Linked DNA regions of Styela clava. The main gene of each other region encodes a partner of the protein of the gene in region 2 in a complex. Links are inferred from orthologs where the notes say so. Each region holds a gene or a part of one and is shown on either strand. Other genes may lie near its edges.

Region 1 (10,930 bases), on a different chromosome or scaffold from region 2:
GGAGAACACAGATTGCTTCATGGTAGCAAATTGGTAGAAGTAAAATAGCCAAATCTTTAGGTTGCAGAGACGATAAAAAATGCAAAACTTTTTCACCCTCTTTTGTATCATCGAAAAGACGTTTTTGTCGACGTGCTGGTATGGGCTTAGCGCTATTCCACATAGTTTGCCATAAATTTCCAGGGATTTGCATTCTTTCTGAAAGAGCGCCTATGGTGACGCCATTAGCATCAGTCTTCTCTTCATAGTCTCTCGGAGAATACCATCTAACAAAATCACCAAGTCCGCATCCGGGGTTGGCAGCTTTGAAAGACTCCATGTCAGAAAGCAGCGACGCCGATTGCATTTTTCTACGAAGCAAAGCACCTTCAGCAGAGTCCCCTAAGCTGGAGAAGATCTTGGTCTGTTCTTCTAATGCATCTTCCGTTAAAGGTGCAGATTCTTGTGTGACCGGAATGTACAAATATGCATCAACATTTAAAAGTCTGGCAGAACCAAATCGCTTGGATCTTCCCATAGGCTTTGTGTTCTCTTTAGCAATGGAATCTTTAATACTATCAGCGCTATTCTCAGGTCTAGAACTTTCAGGCTCTTCAGTATCCATTTGAGTGATATTTCTTTCAGAATCCATCGGTTTTTCTTTTTCCGTTATATTATCTTGTAAATCTGATTTCTCTTCAGGAAATTCATTATTTCTGGAATTATCGCCAGATAAATTTACTTCATCAATTTCTATATCATCAGCATTCACGTTTTGTTCAATACTGGCAATATCTTCGTTTGTTTGTTCTTGCAAAGTAGTTTCCTCTACAGTTTTATCAACCTCGTCCGGGTCTGGTATCGAACCCCCTTCATCACACTCAAAAAATTCATCATCATCAATAGAGCTCACTTCCTCTTGCCATCCTGGTGATCTAGGAGCAGATTCTGCACCAATAGAGGTTGTAGAATCCTCTCTAGGAAGTTGACCTGGATCTTTATGTTTATCACTATCATCCTCCTGCTTAGGAGACTCTTCATTTGATAAAATTAGATCTTGAGCAGATGAAATTTCAGGAGAACTATCTTGAATCTTAGAATCCTCTCCCTTTTCCATATTAGTTTCATTTGAAGAATCTACATCTTTGTTTTCAGTTTTATCAAGATTCTCTGAATCTTCATCTTCTTGTGGAAGATCGTCAATCACAGAATTCTGGTTTTTCTCCCTATTGATTTTATGCTGGATGCAACAATTAAGCATTTGCAACTTTTGATGAAAAAGGCAACATCGTAAATCTGGATTCCCAGAAGTAATTCCGGACAAAAGAACTCCGTTCTCGAATCGATATCGCATTTCTTGCACAAATTCATGCCAAACTTGAGCAATAGCTGCAACTCCCCCGTGACAAAAATTAATCACCGTAACACAAAGCGCCAGGCGATACGTCAAGCTATCTTTCGGAGCAGATTTAATTTGATGTTCCAATTCATGTACGAAAGTACCTTTTTCATTCTCACTACTGACACCTTTGGACGACCCTTGACCTTCATTTGACGGAGCTTCAGGTAACAAATATTCCATAATAAGTTCAATCATTGATTGAGAAATCGGGCCGAGAGTTGCATAAGATGAAACCTGCATTCTCCGAGACCACATTGATCTTTGTGATGTCACAATTTTTGAAAGACCAGATGTAAATTCAGGCATCAGTGGAACCATTTGTTTAACTTTATGAGACGGGTCTGTCATTTTATTTAGCGCTTGACTTATATCTTGTTCTGCATCTTGCGACTTCGGTGCTGTCGTGACTAAATTACCAAAGCTTTCTTTGCATGTTCTGAGTTTCAACATTTCTTTAATGTAACCGCTTAACAGGCATTCTGGATTATCAGTGTAATGGAGTCTTATTGTCCACACCGGTGCCGAGATTGGTTTAAAGTCAGAGTGCACGTCGTTTTCCACAATCAGACCTTCGTTAATCGCCGGCCACATGGCTGAAAGTTGAAGATCACCTATTGGGTCGTCCAAACATCCAAATAGGAATTTATCGAAAGTTTGTGCAGCAATGTCTGGGTCTACTTGTTCCTGTGGCCACGCCCCCTTTTCGCCCCAATTTGATAATACGTAAGTGAACCGTGCTGATATTTGCACTGGTGATAAAGTCCGCCCTATTTTTGACTTGAAAATATGAAGCAAACCGGATAAATGCTGATATTGAGGAGGGGATTTCTTCAAATGAATCATCTCAAATTCAGTCTGCATTCCAGTACCAACACATCTTCCTGAAAAAAAAAAATTATATTTAATTTAATATCTAGTGCCGATGATTGAGTTTCTATGAGACTAACTACTTATCTTTCTTCAATGCTTAAATGTGCATGCATATGATAACACATAAAACCTCAATCGTAGTACTTCTAGCTACTTAGAAATAGGTCCAGAAATATTGTCTTCACCTGTAAACATTTTTCTCCAGTTTTGTTGAATCTGAATAAATATTGGGACTTCACACCCGGAATCTGATAATACGATACATGCCGAGCTGAGAAGCAAGTTGCATTTTGATTCGCTTGTCAAACCGTCCACTGCGTTGCTGCCCGACGAGATTAAATTGAGAACAAGGAAAGATCGGAATCCGTACCTAAAATGGGAAATATTGAGTTTTAAATGGCACAAGCAGAGCAGATAAATAATATTGGGCATAAAATTTAGCAATATTTGATTTCAATTTGGTTTTAAGATGAAACTGTCAACACTCAACAGTAAACTCTGAAATTTTACGACCCCATTAGTCTACTGCTATGCTGCCTGACAACATTAAATTCAGAACAAGGAAAGATTAATATTGAGTTTTAAATGGCATGAGCGGAGCAAAAAAATAATATTGGGCACAAAATTTAGCGGGACATGTAATTTGAAATAGGCTACGGTGTTTCAATAATTGAATATAAAATGAGACTGTCAACACTTGACAGTAAACTCTGAAGTTTTACGACCCCAATTAGAGGTTTCAAGACATAAAATCCAGATAGCTGAAAAACATTTGGTATTTCAAACAAAATATAATGAAAAAATATTCTGTGGCTCAAAAATCTAGTTTGAGACATTGTGACGTACCATCGAACAAGACAATGAGCTCTTGGAGGAAAATCATTATTAGTTGACATCATATCGTCCATATACACAGGTAAACACAGCTCATCTTCTAGAGTTGTTTCAGATTCTTCATGGTAGATTTCTTCATCTTCATTTCGACCAGTTTGTTTCAGTCGATATAACGTCAACATGAAGACAGCATTCGAAAACCTGTAAATAAATGTTAGTATTGTCAGATTATGGACTGTATTAAATTTTATCACTGTCAAGTCTAGGACAGTGAAAATCGAATGAAATACTATTCAAATACCCTCTTAGAATAGTTTTAAACCAGGAACGCAGAATGTATTCCTAATCGATCCATTTTCTACTCTATTATGTTTTATTGATTATTATTATTACAAACAAATTGGGTTCGGGTCAGGCCAGGTCCTATTTTTGCCTAAAATTTGTTATTTACCAAAGTATGACAGACTATAAACAATACTTTGATAAGCTTTCAAACAATATTAAAAAAGCTTCAAGCTCAATAGGATATTTCTCTAGCTTCTGAAATAGCAAAAGAAATTCAAAATTGTAAACTAAAGAGCCCTTATATGAGTAGAATGAAAAATACCTTTCTTATATTGTAATGTGAGAGTCAATCAAAGAATCTCAAGTATCCATTCACATAATACATGTGTGCGATTGTTGGGTACAGCATATTAATTTCAATCCTACTACCATGAATTATTTAATTATGTTTCACTAGAGCAGTTGAGTTTTGAATATCTGACAAAGGATTATTAATGTTAACATTGATTTATTCGATGCAAAGTGTGTGTTCATTTTTCTAATTCTTGTTGAGGTTGTTAGAGTCCATGAAAGCCAATACATTCCCTGAATTAAGATTAGAAACCGTTTCGAAGAGAGATTTATAATCCAATTATCTAGTGTAAAAAATCAATACCCATTACCTTATTTCTCTGCTAACTTGTTCCCAACTTCCTAAAGTTAATTCATTCTTCTTCAACGGCCTGACATGCTCAATACAAGTCAATTGCCAATCAGAAATAGCTTCAGATATCTGAGCAATAAATTTCTCCCAATCCGAGACATTTGTAAAATCCGTAATCTCGAACACTTCCTCATCTTCTTCCATGGAATTACTCCGCGAAGGACTGTCCGCCATATTTTTTTATCAATTTCCACAAAGTTTTTGCTACATGGTAAAATGTATCTGCTAAAATTAAAGGATTTTTTAACACAATGAGCTAAATAATAAAGATATATCATTTCGAAAATAGGTATCATTTAAGATAATATTTATTCGGGAGAAAAAGTGGAAGTATGACATATAGGGTTTAAATAGATAATACAGAAATAATATGAAAATAAACAGTTCAAGATAATAGAAAAGTTCAAAATAGATTAGAGATTCAGGAATCAGCATCCTCAAGTTAAACAGAGGCATTTGAGGAATTCTGAGGAATTTATAGAGTGTATCGCAGACACAATGCAATGACAGTTTTTAAATAATCTGTCCAAAATGGAATATGTCTATACCTCAACTTTACTTTTGTTTTAAATTCCAAAATTAGGAATCGCCAATTCTTGAGGATAAATCATATTTAATACATAACAATCAAATGAAAAGTTTGGTATATTATTATGATTTTGAATGAATTTTAGTATTCTAAATGGAGTCATAGCTTAAGAAATAGGTTTATAAAATCCACTATTTGGTAAAAGACATCAGAGATATTGCCTGCCATATGCTCAAGTTTCCTAAAATCAAATTTTCTCTCTCTTTGGATGAAAAGTAAGGAAAGCTCAATTTCTTGATTTCATAATTGAAATCTCACACAGGAGATAATTAAATACCGGATTTAATAAATATTAAATCATGCATTAAATATTTAATAGAACGGACAGTGCGTGGTTTAATAAATAAACTTATATGAATAACCATTACAATATAACAATAGAATTCAAATCTGATAATATTGTATACATTTCAATTAGGTCAATTATGCTCTAAAATATTCAGGTGTTATGCACTTCCACAACTTGTAGTATATGGATAAAATTAACACTATGTATTAGGATGAGTAAGTACCCTCAATGTAAATAACCCTCAAAGCAGTTAAATTTACCCATGAGAACCCCTGTATTTTTAGTAACCTTATTAACTAGAATGCCACTATTTATGAATGAAGTTGTAAACACTATAAAAAGTTAATCAAAAAACCTAGCTGTCATAGATTCATTTTTTGAACACAGTAATGTCATGTAATCATGAAATGCCATGGATTACATAAACCAAATGTACATACAAAAAATAATATTTTGGTACGAAAGTTACTTTTCATTCTGATTCCAGAATATTTTGCAATACTGGCAACTATGAAAAGTAGGAAGACCTGAACCCCCGAGCCCAACCCCTTATATAAAAAACTAGATGATTCTGGTCCTTTCGAATGCTTACTGAGACTCATTTTAAACAGCATAATGAAACAGTTTATGAAGTCATTTTAACAACTTAGGTACACAATACTAATTACACAACACCAATTATTTAGGTAACTATAACACCTTCGCAAAAAGTTTATACAAAAAGGCAACTATGCTAAAATTTTCAAAATACTGAAGAAATTTTTTAAGATAAACGAACTACAGTACCTAAATGGAACTATTTACTTATTTACTACATCATACGGAAATGCTGTAAGAACAGAAATTGGAGCTCATACAAAAGAGGTATGCAGATAATTATACCCTCGAAGTAAAAATGTGTAGACAAAATTGATATTGTGTAACCACAGTAAAATTATAGTAGCATATGTCACATTTCAGAAACAGACTTTATTAATCTTCTGTTATTATGGACAGGGTCTCCCCTTCGGTATAAGTTTCAAAGTTGTATTTATCTTAGTGCCTTATGTCAATTTTAGACTTTGCTATAAAGCAGTGGTTCCCAACCGTTTATGGCTCGTGGCCCCCACCCGGAGGCTTTTAGCCCTCAAGACCCTAGAATTGTGGCCCCCCCTCCAACTGCTCTGCGGCCCCAAGTTAAGAACCCCTGCTATGAAGATATGGAAATTAGAAAAATGCGATTTTCGCAAAACCTTAAAATGTGACAGAAGCTTATTCAATAATACTGCGGCAATGCATTGAAATATATTATATTGTAGGTAGGCGATGTCTTCGGAACTATGAAATTACACTTAAACACTTGAAATAAAATACTTTGTCATCAGCACCAATAAAGAATGATATAAATTGTTATAGCAGTAGTATATGAATGTCTATAACAGAATGGTTATTCCTAATAAGCCTTTTTTTCATTGATATCATGATATAACCCAAATTATATGAATTGAATTAAAGATTCCACTACATGATGAGTTAATTTCACAAAATGGTATTTTCAAATGATCTTATTTGAATGCATTTATTGTCATCTTCCACTGATTAAACAATATGTTATTTAGTACTTATTTCATAACAATATTGAGCAATTTTTGGTTTTATCATATGAATACATATATATATACGATCAGTTTAATGAAGACTAGCAAATGACTCCTACAGTATAATGGTATTTATATAAAGACTAATTAATACATTAACCTAGCAAATGAGACTGCTATTGCAGAAAATAGCTTTTCTATAAATAACGGAATTATAGGCTCTAAGTATTACAACAGTAATTTAATTTGGAAAAATGTAACTTTAAAATACAGTTTTTGAATTGGGATACTTGAATAGACAGTGGGCTAAGGTCTGAAAGAATAAAAATTGTGTGAATCTGAGTTCTAGCGTCTATTCTCTTTCTAACCATGCTACAATTTTACCCTCCCAACCAGGGACAATGTCATTATCATTGAAAATTTCCTTTTTTACTGTCCCAAATTCTGGGTCAAGTGCTTTAAAATTGAATTTGTAATTATCGGCAGGTACTTGAATTACACTTTTAAAATCTCGCAAAGTTATTTCGCCAATTTTTTTAAAAATTGAAGCTCTGGCTGGCGTCATGTTTCTCTCTGTGAAGTAAATAACCGTCGTTGACGCAGTTTTTTGCGCCATGTCTTTTTTACGATTTCTAGGTGAATGACTCGCAGATAAACGTGGCACTGATAGTTCACTTTTACGACCATAATTCTGGTTGTTGTTACGCTGGTCTCGTTCCGTTAATGACATCACTGCTTGTTCAAGCGTGTCAATAATGTGTTGTCGTGAATCATGAGGTGCTAAATTCGAACGAAGGCTGTTTAGAGACTCTGAAATGACAGTCGTTTCATTACCATTTCGTTCTGGTTTACTTGATTGTTTATAACGCTGTAAAACCCGTAATTGTTGACTTAACTCTTGTACTTGTGATTCCAACCTTTGCATAGAGGTTAATTTACTCTTACTTTCGTCTCCAATTTTTTTGAGTTGTGTAGACATTGAAGTTAGTTCATCTTTTAAATGCTTAATGGTAATATTTTTTTCCGACACTTCATCTGATAGAGATTGTTTTGCCCGTTTATTTTCCTCTATTTGAGCTGCTAAATAATCTTTTTCTTGTTTCAAATTATCACTCGCCAAATTTAATTTCAAAATTTGTTGTTTCATTGACAAGAGCTCTTTTTCTTGTTGTTGCGTACGACTACGCAGCGCTGATATGTTTGCTGATGTACTCCTGCATTCTTGTCGTACATCGGTAAGTTCGGTTTTCAATCGATTATTTTCATGTTGACTCAAATCAAGTCGACTTCTTAGAATTACGTTTTCTTCGTCTTGGGAAGAAGCTTCTAAAGGAAGACTCTGCTCATTATCACCATCGCCTGGTTCCTCTCCATTTAAAAGTAAATTTTGTAACACTGATATTAAATCACAAGTGCTCGATAAATCACTTTCTAAATCATTATAATGTTCCGTCAATTGCTCAGAAACATTCGATGCATCCCTGCTTCCACCAGATGTCAGTATAACTTCACTATTTATAGAAGAGAGATTCTGCACCGTTGTTGTCGCAAGGCAATCATTGCCAGTTCTACTGGACCGCTGAGGTAAACTTGGTGATGCCCAAACGTCATCAGAAGAAGATAATTTATTCAATGAAAATGAATCTGTCTCGTCTGAACCAGTTTTTGGCAGATCTGACCGGTTTGATGTGGTTCTGGATGAACTGGAACTGCTATTATTGTTTCTTCTATAGTCTGAGGTAGGGGTGCTGCTCTTCCAACGAGGGCGAAAACCTCCAGATAAGCTTACATTTTTGTGAATATCACTCAGTGCAACTTTGGCATTTGCTGCTGCAGCTGCATTAACCGTTTTCTTTTTTCCGACACTAGCAGGTTTAAAGTGTGCGGCCAAGGTCAGAATTAATTTCATCAGACTTTTGACATTACCATTAATTACATCTTTCTCAGTAATGTGATGCATTCGGATACTTTTCTTCGTCAAAAACTTTAATACTGAATTAATATTTCGTCTTTTTTCTTCAAGATTTTTCGCAGGAATATAAACTCCATCCAATTTTTCTCCGGAAATAATTTCAACTAGTGTAACTAAAACGACTCCATCACGGAAATCTGTTTTTAAATCCGTTACAGGCTTATTCCCTGCTCTCTTTTTAAGCTGGCTGTTAACCCAAGCAATGTAAGTTTCAATTTGTTTTTGATATTCCTCATTCTGTTCATTGTCCCAAGCATCCTGCCTGTTATTGGCATCAGTAGCGGCAGACATTGCCTTTTTTTTAGAAAAATACTATATCGATAATATCCAAAAAGAAAAATGAAAATATCAATTTTAATTTAATACAATCAAAACATCAGAAAGACAAGTATGAATTCAGAGCATTGGACAACCCTTGAAATAGACATCGCCAAGGCAGAAATATTCGGTACCTTGTACGCTTTATTACCATTTAATTATGTTTCACACCTTCACTCAAAAGAAGGCTCCTTTAATATCAGACTCTAATTGCCCTGATATTGATTTACAGTATGACACAATTCTCCGAATCTGGGATAGACCCACATTGAAAGACATCAATTATAGCAATGAGTGCCAACCACTCCTTTACGAGACAATCTATACCTCCATATCGACAAACTGGCACTACGCAATGAACTAAACGAAAGCACAATCTAAAAACGTCAATTGGATTTCTTGGGGGAAAAATAATTTGATTTACCTAAGAAAAAAAATTTAGCGAAGCTTTCAAGAGTTTTTGCAGATTAGCAAGCATGGCGCATCTGCCAACATGCCAGATGCCTCTTTTGAAGTGTTTGTTTTATTGGAGTCGAGACATCTTGGAATGAGAGAACTGGGCCCTATTGATTTATGCGAGAATGATTAGTTTGAAACAAAATTATTAGGTTTTATGATAAAAAAATAGAAAATTCGAAACTATGGATGGCCAGAATTAAGTGATCTTGTATTTTGAACAATATTTTCAATTACTGAACAACGGACAATGAAATACCGTATGTTCTAATTTTGGTAAAGATAAACAAGGAACTCGGCACAAGCCAATTTATGTTCAAAAATATTCACTTTGGAAGGTTAACACTGTAATGATTTACAATATCATCAAATATATCCAATTTAAATTATTCTGGAATTCCCTGGTCTGAAATTTCTTAATACCCTTTTATCATGCTAATACAGTTGATAAACTGTACATGACAGTTGATAAACTTACTATCTGACTATTTTTACTATATAGCTATATTTTCTCTCATATCTACAGCATTTAAAAGGAAAGTGGTACCAGGTCTACCATTTACAGATGTAGAAACTAGCAAATTGTCTGGTCTGAAAGTTGCGATACACTTATATAATATACTGCATCACCATTATATCTTCTATTGCGCACCAGTACCGGTACCGTAATGAATCATCTCATTCATTATCGAAGATAAAATCCGATCGAGGTTCACAAAATGCATTTCAGTATCCTAGTCAGGCATTTAAATGGATAATACCGCTAATTATCTGATGAATATTAATGGAACCATACATTTAATCTATTGATCACATTAAAATTCAGTATTAAACGGAGAATTCCACTTAATTGAACATGTCAAAATGCACAGCACTTGGATTGTAGGCTATAAGTATAACGAGCTTAAATTCTTAGACGTAATGCCTAATTCTTCAATTAATGACTAACAAGGTAACTAAAAATTATCGTTAACTTGATTGAGCCCAAATTGAAAATTTGGTCCACTACAAAATATGATAATCCGTCATAATTACCATTTAGTAAAAAGCTTAACAACAAGACAAACGGAAAACCAAAGCGAAGTGTTTTGAGTGACGTCGCGGTCAATGACGCGCTAATTTTGATTTCAGTATTTTTGATTCCCTGAACGTTTTACCAGTTGTAAAACAGTTTAGCCCACTCCCACTCCGTGAAAATTCTTTTTTTTTCCAAATACAAACGAAGACAAAGCAAATCACAAGCAATCTGAAGAATTGAAAAATACTGAAATATCAGGAGTGCGCAGTTGTACCATCTCGCGGATTTTTTTAATTCTATCTCAGCCAACAAGCGGGTTTATGATGCTGACTTTACGAGGATTGGAGGGGTTTTGTCCGACTTACCGGAGACTTCTGTGGAGACATTTGCGAAAGTTTTCTTCGGGTAAGCTTTAATATTATGTTTTAGATAACAGCCTATATCAACATTGGTTTATGACACAGAATTAAGGAATTGCAATATTTTATTGCAAATTTGTTGGAATCTTGTCATTATTCCTAATCTTGTGATCCCATGTTTCCGTCTGCAGTCTGATGGGAATTGAATATAATTCTTAAATTTATAGAGGATAGGATAGCCTAATAATGAACTAAGTATGCACTGATATAATCATATTC
Region 2 (11,604 bases):
CAATTTACAGCCTGTTATCAGATAGCAAAAGTGATGTTTGCATAAAACCTGAATATATTAAATAGGCCCATGTGACAATCCAAGATATCTCCCAAAAAGAATAAACATGAAAAATAGCTGTATTTTTCACTTAAGGGTGAGAAACTAAGCCTATTCTGTCTATACCGTGGGCGCATTGGCCAGTGGGTGAAGCGTTAGACTTGGCCGTATTGGCATTCCAGTATACACATCTAGACTTCAAATTTCATGGCCACAACGTTACCAGGGTGTACTAAAGGGACAAATTCCGGTCCTTCTCAAAAATAGTAGCTCATTGTGATCCTTAGATATGAGTGGCCGTTAACATAGGACCTTGCTCCAAGAGAAAAGAGTATAATATTGTATAAAAACTGTTATACAATTACTAACGATTAGCTTCTGCATTAACTGAGAGTAAAAAATAATATACCCCGATTCTTCTGATATTTCCATTTGTGTTGCAATTTTGTATTTTCTAGTCCCATGGCTTCTTGCACTATGACCCTCAGATTTGGCTGTAAAGCAACAATAACAGACATTAAAAAGATATTTGTTATGGTATAAATCTCGGGAATCTAATTGAAACAAATTGAACCTAAATTTGAATTCTAAATTCAAAAAATCATTTGGAAAGTAAGAAATATATTTAATATAAATTAATACGAACTATTTTCAACTATCGATGTTTGAATAATTTGGTGTTCTCAAATCAAAATGCGCGTTACTTCTGATACAATCACAATCTATAAATAATAGCCTATACTAATTTTGCGGTTAAAGGGTTAGGCTTATTAACTGAGTTCACATCGCAGGTAACACACCTATGGTTCAAATATCATGACCATCCCGTCAACCACGGTATAATACCAGAACCAGGGAAGATTCTGGTGTTTCAAAAAATAAGAGTCCCTTAATAAATATCGCTAAATATTAATCATTGTAATGTAGGTTGTTCTGAGCAAAAGCCATTTCATAAAAAAGCAGTGTTCTTATCAATCGCATTTGCAAAATTTAATTTGATATGTATATTGGTATTAAAAAAATTTCGAAACTTAAATCAAGGACATTTCTATTCATAGCACCTGTGTTTATGGTTAAATAATCAGATTCATGATTAGGATTCAGAAACATAGTCTATATTGATCGAGTTGCTATTCTTTCAAACATAATATTATTATCAAATATTCTTTGACAATTCTCAAAATAAAAAGAGTTTTTTTTTAAAAAATTCAACTTCTGTCACAACCAACCTGCAAGTAGAATGATCTTTCCAGCATAACCTATTACCAACAAATCATAGGTAGGTGAGAATGCTATCTGGCATTTATGGAACCAGTTATTTTCTTGATCATCTGAAGAATCATTCTCATCCTGATACCAGAAGAAATAATATTTAAAATATTAATATTTGTTGGTGCGAAGGCCTAGCAGGTAAAACAATACACTCATATTAAATTGGGCAGTCAATGCTGAACTGAAAAGATTATTAGCTTCTTACATCATTAGTGGCTGCTTATACAGACCCTTATTCAGAGCAAAAGCTGTGAAATAAGATCATATGAAAATGTGTGTTTCAACCCATTGTTGCTCAAGCAAGTGAAATATTCGAATCAATTTATTTATTATATTCAATATTTTAAAATCCTGATTCTAAAAATGAACTGAAAGTTTCATTTGAAATTATAATTTTAAATGTCACAGAATGACCAAAAATGCCTTACAGTAATTTAAATATCCTATTTATGAAAACTTCAAAAAATATAAATCCAATCCAATAACTGTATAACTTTACTTTCCAAAATTTATCAAAAACATGTTATTCGCTGAACATGGAAATATATTCGATAATCACGAACATTATTTTAGAATGTGTTCAGAATAGAAAGTTATTAGACTTTGGCCATCTGTGATTAAAATTCCACTAAAAGCAAAATTGTCTCAATTTCTGATGATTTATATTATTCAGACTTCTAAAAGTGATATCTTTTTTTCGATTAAAAAGAATGAAAAGTGAAATGTTCTCCCTGAAATAATTGTCCACTACTAAATTATCAATTATTAAATAATTTTTAAGCAACCTTTTGCTTGCTATTGTCTTCATTGTCATTTTCCCAATTATTCGCCCAATCATCTTCATTCCATCCATCAGCATCATTATCTATATATAATATAGGCTAGATGTTATTTTCGAATACCAGCCATGTCGAGTACTTCCATATAGTAGTTAGCTACTAACCCTTAACAATTGCTACTTGTGCAGAGCTTTGTTTAGAGTGAAAGACGTACAAATAAGCCATGTTAAAAAAAAGTAAAATGGTAGCAATTTTAGCACAATTTGTAAATTTGAGCTTGAAGCCAATATAAAAATTTGAATAGTATTACCGTAATTGATGAATTTGTTTTAATATGGAACAAGACTATTGAATTGAATAGAATGGTCATACACAGAAGAGTATGCATTATTCACACATGAATCCACCAGCACAAACCTGGATGCAACTTGCTCGAAAGAGGAGTACCTGGCGTCAAATGTGGAGGCTATCTGCTTGCAGTGGCATGAACAGCTAGTGATGATGTTGAATGTATCCAAGTATTCTACTGTTTCAACATCCAAGCCTACAATTCCCAACTATTAGTATTTAGATGATAAAATATAGCAAACCTTTCATTTGCTGTTCATTTCCTGCATCTCTGACCGGAAATAAATATTTTCTGACAGATGTAACATCCTCAATAACACAAGTTTGTTTTAAACTGCAAGCCATATCTAGTTAATATTTATGAAATTATATAACATCTTGCAAATGTAAGGCTGTAAATATAATAACAAGGCACATAAGGATGTATGATTTAAAATAAATTGAATATATAACATCTATGAAACAATATCCAATCAAAGAAAAGCCAATGATAAACCATATATCATTTGCATGAATTAGCAACACCAGCACATAATCGTTAGATCATGATTTGAAATGAAATTTCAGTACAGCAAAAGATAGAGATGACAGATATTATACTAGAGGACAAATGCTAAATTCAAAATTTAGATTGAAAATTCCAAACAATGCAAATCTCAAATATATGCAAAGAATATAGACAGAAAATGAAAACAGAAAATGAATGTGTTTACTAAATACATAACCAACTGCTTGGATTATGCCAGTGGTTCCCAAACTGTGTGTCACACAGTAGTGTGACATAATTTTGAGTGTGAGTCGAAATATAAAATCATTTTCTAAAAAATTTCCTAAACTTGCGATTGTTTATATGTACAAAAACAACCCCATATATCGCATTGATTCAATGTGCATATATTATGAAAATCCTCCTCGTCAAAATTGAAATGTCAAATATTACTTCCAACATGTCATATAGAAAAACATGTAATATAGAAAGTAAATGTATGAAGTTTGAAAAGTTTGGGAATCTCTGGACCAATCTATAAAACTTGCATTTAGAATAGCTAACATTCAAACTATTGGGTATATACTAGAAAAAATTTGAAATCTCTAGCTACTAAATATATTCAACAGACAGTACGAAAAATAGTAACATGATCTAACGTGACATTCAAGGTTTAAAAAAAATTCAAATTATAAAGCAGAAGTCTTGAATATAAACTATATTTCCAGATGTTAGTAGTACGGATGGTACTACAACATAACATATATGGAAAAATTATTTATGTACAATTTATACAATATGTATGTTGATAAAATGATAAAACAAATATATAGCGTGAAATTGCACAAACACTGATGGCCTACTATATTGGAATTACAGACATAACCAAGTTGGCGATACAGGTTAGAGATACCAGGTTCAAGTCTCACTTCCAACACTTTCCTCAAACGTGCAATAAATTCAGTAAGCTGTGCATGAAAAAACTATACAACACAACTTTTTTAAAGATATGAAAAATAAATTTCATGAAAAATCACACTTTCAGCAATGCAGTATTGAATAAGGTTTTAATTACAATTGATTAAAATTTTTTCTGAATTCACGATCTATAATGAGCAGACCAACAAAAACTGATATATTAACGAAACGCGAATACACTAAAGCACTATTACTAAAAAAGGCAATGGTAAATTTATAAAATTTAATGGACGGATTGGCACAAAAGTACGGTTGAATTCATGTCCTTCTCGTCAGTTTACCAGTTCTGGCTGTGCATGGGAATAGAAGTAGGACAAGGATAAGTTTTCCGTTTTACTGGCAATTGGAAATCTTGTTTGAATATATAGGGTGTTCATAAAGTCCAATTACAATTTTGTTATGGAATATATCTTAACAAGGTTTGTTTGATTTTAATCAGGGTTTGAGTTTTTTACCAATACAAACTATATATGGTATTGATGAATTCCCTATTAAATTTCAAAATTTTTCAGACTTTATGAAAACCCTGTATATTAGATACGGTATATAATATAACATGAAGCATTTGTTTAAATACTCAGATAATAACAAAACAAGCGTGTGGTTGTAAAAACCTGTGAAGTGGCTTCAAAACGTATTGAAACATTATCTGTTTTAATCCCACTTGAATAAAACACAAGAGTATAATCTTGTGTATTTCTATTGATCAATGCTATGTTATAAATATTTTACAATACCAAAGATAAAATCCAACAATATGTCAAATTAGGGAATTTCCAGTGAAATTTTCAACTAAATTTGCACATTTTCTCAGTAATGAAGACTATGCCAAGGGATTGGGCAATACTGCATTTTTGACGAAAATACAATGAGTACAAAACAACTCATAAATTTCTTGAACACTCTAAGATGCTTTGCACAAAGTTATGTTCTCTGTAGAACAGTGGTTCTCAAGTGGTGAGGCGCGCCCCACAAGGGGGAGGTAAACAATTTTTCGAGGGGGCGTGAAGCTAATTAAAAATAATTGATAGATTTGATCTTGCGCGCCTTATTTGTTTTTTAAAACTTTCCATTTATTCAACTATTTACGTTCCATCTATGTATTTTCAACATGTTTTTCGAATAAAATTTTGCCTTACTATTTGTTATTTGTAGCCTTCTTAGCTAGTTATATTTTTGAGATGGGGCACGAGACTTGACAAATTCTGAAAAGGGGGCGCGGCCTCAAAGAGTTTGAAAACCACTGCTCTAGAGCAAGTTGCAAACGATCTGGGTTCTGTTTTTTAAAGCACCCTTTATATAGCATCTATAGACGAGTTACAAAGCCACTTAAAAATAGGTTTAAGTTAAGGCATGTGGAAACAGTATCTTTTAAAATATGATTAATTTTTTTTTATATAGAAAAAAACCGGTTCTCAAATTCATGAGAAATTCTTAACTAAACAGAAATTAGGAGCAATATTTGAATAGTACTCAAACATATTCATAATTTTCACACAGTAAAACAATTCCAATTTATGCATCTTTAGAAATACAAGAAAATCGAAACCCCAGCTGGCATATAAATATATTCCCAAAGCGTCTTTGTTTGAAACATCAAAATGAATGACCCCTGTTATAAAGACTCAAAATAAGAATAATAAATTAGGCTAGCATCTCCAAAGCTACCGTAACTTGCTACAAGAATGAATCATTGAAAATTGCTTTAAATCTAAAATAAAAGCAACCAACTGTGCTTATAATTTCCGAATATTGCACTTAGCAAATGAAATATCATGGGACATGAACATCACACATATTAATAATGCTTATGGAATAACAAATCAATATAACAAGAAATCCAAATTCAGGTATGAAAAGAATAACATGAGCACAAGTGTGAAAATGCAATATACCAAACAATATGGTAGATGTACCAAAACAATACTTTCTACCAAGCAACCTAAATAGCACCGTATAGGTATATCGCAGAATAGAATTGAAACATGTTTCATTAAACTATAAAACTAATGAGAGATATAATCAGTTTTAGAATTTTCGAATAATATTATAGACTTGCTTTCAATTTATAAACACATATTTTAGCAAAGACAATTTTGTTCAATGAATGCGATTTATTTCACAAAGTAAATAAATTTTGTGATAAAATAGTTGGTGGTCCATACCTGAATGTATCAAAAAAAAAAACATATATGATGTACGGTATATATATTATATGATAAAAACAGTGAGACACATTCACGAAAATTCTTAAAGTCTTGTACCCCAATCTATAGCGTTATTTCTGTGCTAAGCCATGTTTTTCGAGAATTTGTTGTGATTCAAGTTCATTAAATTGCAGTAGAAGTATTAAAACTTTTGCCATAGTCCCACATTCATTTCCCATAATATATTCATACAAAATCCTCCTTAGATATTCAAGTTTATCTGGATCGGCGAGAGGTGTGGCAAGTGACACTCTCGCTTGGAACGACTGAAGCATCATTTCATTTTCGCGTTCCCTCTGTTGCGTATCAGCAAGAATTTTATTCACTTCCGCTAGTTGTTTTTTCAAATTTTCATTTTCTTGCTCCATGTCTGCACTTTGTAATTTTTTTTCAGCAGTCATAGCACGATACATGGCTTTATCAACTTGTTCGGACATATTTTTTTCCATTTCATGCATTTCTGACTCGTACTTTTCGACAACTTCTTCCATTTTCTCTTCTTTTCCTTGAATTTCTCTTTGCAGAAAAACTAGTTCCTTGTGATGATCAGATCGCACTGAATCTTCAAATGATAAATTTTTTTTCTTCATTTTTTCAAGTTTTGAGTCGAAACTCTCGTTATTTTTCTGAATTTGCGTTTCATATTCAGTCATCATTTTCTTGATCTTCTTTGTTGTTTCTTCATCTTTCTCTCGCAACCTTCTTTCAAAATCCTCTTTTAAGTTTCCTAATTTTCTTTCAACTTCCACATCTTTATCTTCAACTGAAGTTTTAGACAAAACCTCCATTTGTTTTTGCGATGAACTGATTTCATCTCGTAATGACTGCATTTTCCTCTCATAATCTTCAATTGTATCATTTAAATTTTGCTTTACAGTTTCTCTATCATTCTCCAACTTTTCACTTCTTTTTCTAGCAGCATCTAATTGGGCTTCAAGAGCTGATATCATATTCAAATTTTCTCTTTCCGTGCTGTCAATAGTCTCTTGCATATTCTTTAAACTTTCTTCAAGGGAAAGAATTTTAGCATCTGATAAGTTTTGTTTATTTTTCAAATTCTCTATTTCGTTTGCAAAATCTTCTTTTGCTACCAACAATTGTGTTTCACTCTGCAATCTCCTTTCTTTTTCTTCCTGTAGTGCCATTTCCGATCGATCTTTTTCTTCATCCATTTTCTTTTCTGTTTCTTGCAATTTTAGCTTTGCCTCTTGAAGTACTTGTTCAAGTCGATCTTTCACTTCGGCAAGTTGAGCTTGTTCATCCTCGTACTTTAATTTTTCTTCCTCCATCATATTGACAATATTTTTATCAGATTCCTCTTTGATTCTAGCTTCAATTTCCAATTTTTCTTTTTCCCATGCCGAAAGCATTTCTTGTTTTTCACTTTGTAATTGTTCAAATTGGTTTTTCAAGCTTTCAAATTCAGTCAACAATGTTTTGTTCTCAGTAATAGCAGTTTCTTTGGTTTTATTAGCTTCTTCTAAGGCTTGCACCATTTGCTCTTCCAAAGAACTCTTGTCATCTTCTAACTGAGAAATTAATTTCAGTTTTTCTTCTAATTGGGAAGTAAAAGTATTTTTAATTTGAGCGAGTCTAACTTCAGCTTTCTTTTTCAAATCTGCCATTTTCTTTTGATGTTCTTGGTTTAATTTCGTAGTTTGAGCTTCTAGTTGTTCTTTAGATTCTTTTTCCAAGTGTATTGTTTTCTCAACAACAATGGCATCCTTTTCTGCAAGTTCTTTTTTGACTTTTTCTAAAGATTTTGCCATTTCGTTGTTTTCCGCTTGCGTTAGTTTCATTGAAGAATCGTTTTCCAATTTTTCTTTTTTCCAGTTTTCAAGGTCTTCAGTTTTAGTTTCAATTTCTAATTTCATGTTTTCCAGCTTTTCATTTAAATCAGAAATTGTTGAATCTCTCTCCTTCAACTGAACTTGTGAACCATCAAATGAAGAATTGACATCCGAAAGCTTCAAATTCAAACTTTCAATTTCTTTTTCAAATTCCATAATTTTTTCATTCTTTTCATTTACATCCTCTTCCAATTTCTTGATCATTTCATCATAATTTCGACTTTGTTTTTTAGAAGATTCCATAATGTTTTTTATTTGTAGTTGCAAATCATCCACAATGTCTTTTTTCGAATGTTCTGCAATTTCTGCATCCTTTTTAACTTTCTCAGAAAATTTTTGCTGTTCAATAAGTTTACTTTCAGTCTCTTGAAGCTTTTGTTCCAAAAGGGTTAAATTTTCTTGTACAAGCTTTGCACTGTCAGTAAGGTGTTGAATATTTTTTTCAGCAGAGGCCTTTTCCTCACCAAGTTTGTGGATTGTTTCTAGCTGTGATGTTAATTCAGCTTTGGCATTTTTGAGATGAGAGTGTTGTTGTGCTATTTTTTGTTCGGCTTTAGATTTCAATTCAGTATATTTTGTTTGCCAATCACTATTCTGCTTTTCCAAAGCAGCAGCATGCTCTTTCGTCAGAGCTTCAAATTTACCTGAATGTACTTTATTTTCTGATTTTAAGCTTTCTAAAAACTTGTCATTTTCTGAAATTTTGGCATGAACTTCTTTTAACTGAATAGACTGAGCACTGAAATTTTCCGTCAGTTTATTAAATTCTGAAATCTTGGCATCCAATTCAGTAGCAACTTTCTTTTCTTCATTAGATTTGTCTTCTAATTGCTGTTGAAGATTTTTTATTTCACTTTGTAACTGAGTTAAGTTATCATTAGATATATCAAGATCCTTCATCAATTGTTCAACTTGAGATTCTTTATCAGAGTTTAACTTTCTAAATTGGGAAAGCTCAGCTTCAGCAGCATCTACTTTCTGTTTTAGATTCGTTACTTCAATCTCATTACTCTGAAACTTTTCAGTACTTGTTTTATAATCTGCTTGGAGACATGCCAAATTCTCATGGGCTTCAGAAAGTTCTTTACATTTTTGTGATTGCTCGTTTTCGAGATCAGTAATTTTTTCATGGCATTCTTGAAGGGACTGTAGAAGAGATTTTTCTTTGTCAGTGGCATCAGATGTTTCGCTTTGCAGCCTCATCTCTAAATTCCTCATTTCAGTGTCAAGTTTCTTCCTCTGTTCAGTTAATAATTCTTGCTTTTCAGTATTGAATTTGTTCGTTAATTCTTCCACTAAATGACTTTTGTTCTCATCAAAAGCATTGTTCAAACTATTCCTCAATGATTCTAAATCTTGATTGTGAGTGTTTATCATTGATTCTTTTAACGCATCATATTCTTTTTCAGATTTCTCCTTCAAGCCTTCTAATTCATTTTTCAGTTTGTTTTCCCATTCAGACTCCATTGTTTTCAATCGCATTTCATGATTTTCAACCATTTTTCTATTTTGTCCTTCCAGTTGTTCTAATTTTATTTTGATTTCATTTAATTCCGTTTTAGACTTCTCAATCATAGATTCTTTCTCTGTCACAGTCGTCTGGTTTTCTTTAACAGTGGCTTTAAATTTTTGGGCAAGTGCTTTTAATCTTCCACCAGCTTCAAGAAATTTCTTATTTGTTTCTTCTTGTAATTTCTGAAGATCCAATTTCTCTTTTTCTAAAGTAGCAATTTTCACCACAGATTCCTGTTTTTCTTTATCTAACTGTGATGATAAATCACCGATTGCAGATTTATGGCTTTCCTCCATATCCAAGACATGTTTTTTCATTGTCTGTTCTCTTTGTTTCAATTTCTCTTCAGCAGCATTGCAAGCTTGTTCAAGTTCCTGTTTCTGAGATTGTAAATTTTTCAGATTTTCCTGCAACGTTTCAAGTTCTCCATGAGAAACTTCATTCTGCTGTAAGCTTTCTTGTTCTTTCTGTGAAAAGTCCTGCTGCAAGTTTTCCATTTTACTGTTTAGTTCTTTAATTATGTTATCTTTTGCTTCAATATTCGAATTCAAATCTTCTTTTTCTTTAGTTGCACTGTTTTTGATTTCTTCTAATTCGTTTAAAGAATCCTTCAATTGTGTATCTCTTTCAAAAAGTTTAGATTCTATTTGCGAAAATTTGATACTTAAGGCTTCCCTATCACAATTCAACAGAGTGACTTCTTTTTCGAGTTGGGAAACCTTCTCTGCTTGTTGCTGAAAAAGTTCGTTCCTCTCTTTACCTTGTTCATTTACTTGTGTTTTCAAATCGTCAACTTCTTGTAAGTATGATTTCTCAGCTTCTGCTAACTTTTCAGTCCATGTCAATTCTTTTGTTTGAAGTTTGTTTTCAAACTTTTTCTTTTGATTTGTGAATTTTTCTAAAAACTCTTGAGCCTTCGAAGTCATATGATCATCATGATATTTTTTAAGGCTGTCAAGTTCGAATTTATGTTCTTCACTCGCCTTTTGAAAATTGTCTTTTAGAATGGTAATTTCCTCTTCATGTTTGTTGGCCTCATCCACTCTTGCCTTTTCAAGCTCTTCCACTTTTTGACGAACATTCTCCAACTCTGTATCTAGTTGTTTCAACAAATTCTGAGCTTCAGTGTCTTGTTGTGAGACTGCAGCCATTTTATTCAGCTCTCTCTCCTCAATTGCTAATCTCATTTGATTCTCTTTTTCATCCAATTCCAGTTTATATTTCTTTGCTTGTTCTTGCAATGCAACTTCATGCATTTTTGTATGAGCCTCTAAATCACTTTTGTGTTTTTTCATTACATTTTCAAGTTTCTCATTAATATCAAGATTATCAGCTTTTGCATGTGAAACCTCAGAAACATAAGTTTTTCTTTCCGCATCAAATTCTTCTTCAATCTTTGTAATTCTGCCTTCCATTTCTTTCTGTATAGTTTCAGTTTTCAATAAAGCATCAGCTCTTTGAGCTTCTGCTGTTCTACCAATAGTAACTGCCTTTTGAAGTTCCTCCAACAAAGAATTTTCCCGTTGCTCTTTCTTCATTTTAAATTCATCAAGATCAATTTGCAGTTTCTTGACTTGTTGATGTAAGGATTCTACTTCGATATCTTTACCTTCAAGAATCTCATGCATTTGTCGTTTGGCCTCTGCAACAGCAGTGACTTTGTCCTCTTCAATTTTCTCAATAACGTTTTTTGCTTCACGCAATTGTTTGATAAGTTTCGACTTTTCCGCAACGTTCGAATCTTTCAGGTTTTCTAATTCTTCTAATCGCTCACTAAGTTGTTCTTGTAAAGCATCACCTTGGCTTCTTAGACCTTCACAAGTATCTTTAGCAAATTTGAGTTGTTCTTCTAAGGTTTTGACCCTTTTTTGAAGCTTTGAATCATCTCCCTGGCCTTGAGCAGTTTCAGTTTGTACTGGTGGTGGAGACTTCTGCGGATCATCTTTAAGAATTGCAACTTGAGTATGAAGCACTTGTATCATTTGATCTTTTTCTTCCAGAGAAACTCGAAACTCCTCTTCGAGATGCATTTTGGCTTTCAAATCCAACGCTGCGGCTTCTTTGAGTTCCTGAATTCTGCGTAGATTTTTATCTTGGGTCTGTTGCATAACTGATTGCAACTTTTCTCTTT

Evidence for each region. The genes of interacting proteins can lie anywhere in the genome.
Region 1: the proteins of rab3 GTPase-activating protein non-catalytic subunit-like (region 2) and rab3 GTPase-activating protein catalytic subunit-like are in contact, whole or in part, in a cryo-EM structure (PDB 8VYB), measured with the Homo sapiens proteins. The link is inferred for Styela clava from reciprocal best matches to the Homo sapiens genes RAB3GAP2 and RAB3GAP1. Residues at the interface, in NP_036546.2 of Homo sapiens: Arg197, His198, Pro199, Gly200, Ser276, Pro277, Phe278, Asp279, Met281, Lys282, Ser285, Asn286, Ile287, Gly289, Phe290, Asn291, Ala292, Ile294, Arg377, Phe378, Gly379, Leu380, Pro381, Asp382, Arg385, Cys395, Thr397, Leu398, Arg407, Arg415; in NP_036365.1 of Homo sapiens: Thr19, Ser21, Trp23, Glu24, Glu142, Ser143, Asn146, Leu147, Leu149, Ser150, Ser153, Ile154, Ile169, His170, Trp173, Arg174, Met176, Arg187, Asp189, Glu191, Met192, Val193, His194, Leu195, Arg196, Pro199, Tyr202, Ile211, Ser214, Lys215.

What each region holds. Positions count from the first base shown.
Region 1 is NC_135264.1:14,170,310-14,181,239, forward strand, and holds the start of rab3 GTPase-activating protein catalytic subunit-like, read right to left. Parts: upstream 4,248-10,930; coding exon 4,033-4,247; intron 3,287-4,032; coding exon 3,098-3,286; intron 2,622-3,097; coding exon 2,437-2,621; intron 2,263-2,436; coding exon 1-2,262. Other genes in the region: dixin-like, read right to left, coding at 6,881-8,791; thioredoxin reductase 2, mitochondrial-like, read left to right, coding at 10,613-10,697. UniProt on the Homo sapiens protein: Catalytic subunit of the Rab3 GTPase-activating (Rab3GAP) complex composed of RAB3GAP1 and RAB3GAP2, which has GTPase-activating protein (GAP) activity towards various Rab3 subfamily members (RAB3A, RAB3B, RAB3C and RAB3D), RAB5A and RAB43, and guanine nucleotide exchange factor (GEF) activity towards RAB18.
Region 2 is NC_135251.1:16,307,057-16,318,660, reverse strand, and holds the start of rab3 GTPase-activating protein non-catalytic subunit-like, read right to left. Parts: upstream 5,151-11,604; 5' UTR 2,784-5,150; coding exon 2,681-2,783; intron 2,177-2,680; coding exon 2,097-2,176; intron 1,390-2,096; coding exon 1,269-1,389; intron 534-1,268; coding exon 449-533; intron 1-448. Other genes in the region: uncharacterized protein LOC120335522, read right to left, coding at 6,182-11,604. UniProt on the Homo sapiens protein: Regulatory subunit of the Rab3 GTPase-activating (Rab3GAP) complex composed of RAB3GAP1 and RAB3GAP2, which has GTPase-activating protein (GAP) activity towards various Rab3 subfamily members (RAB3A, RAB3B, RAB3C and RAB3D), RAB5A and RAB43, and guanine nucleotide exchange factor (GEF) activity towards RAB18.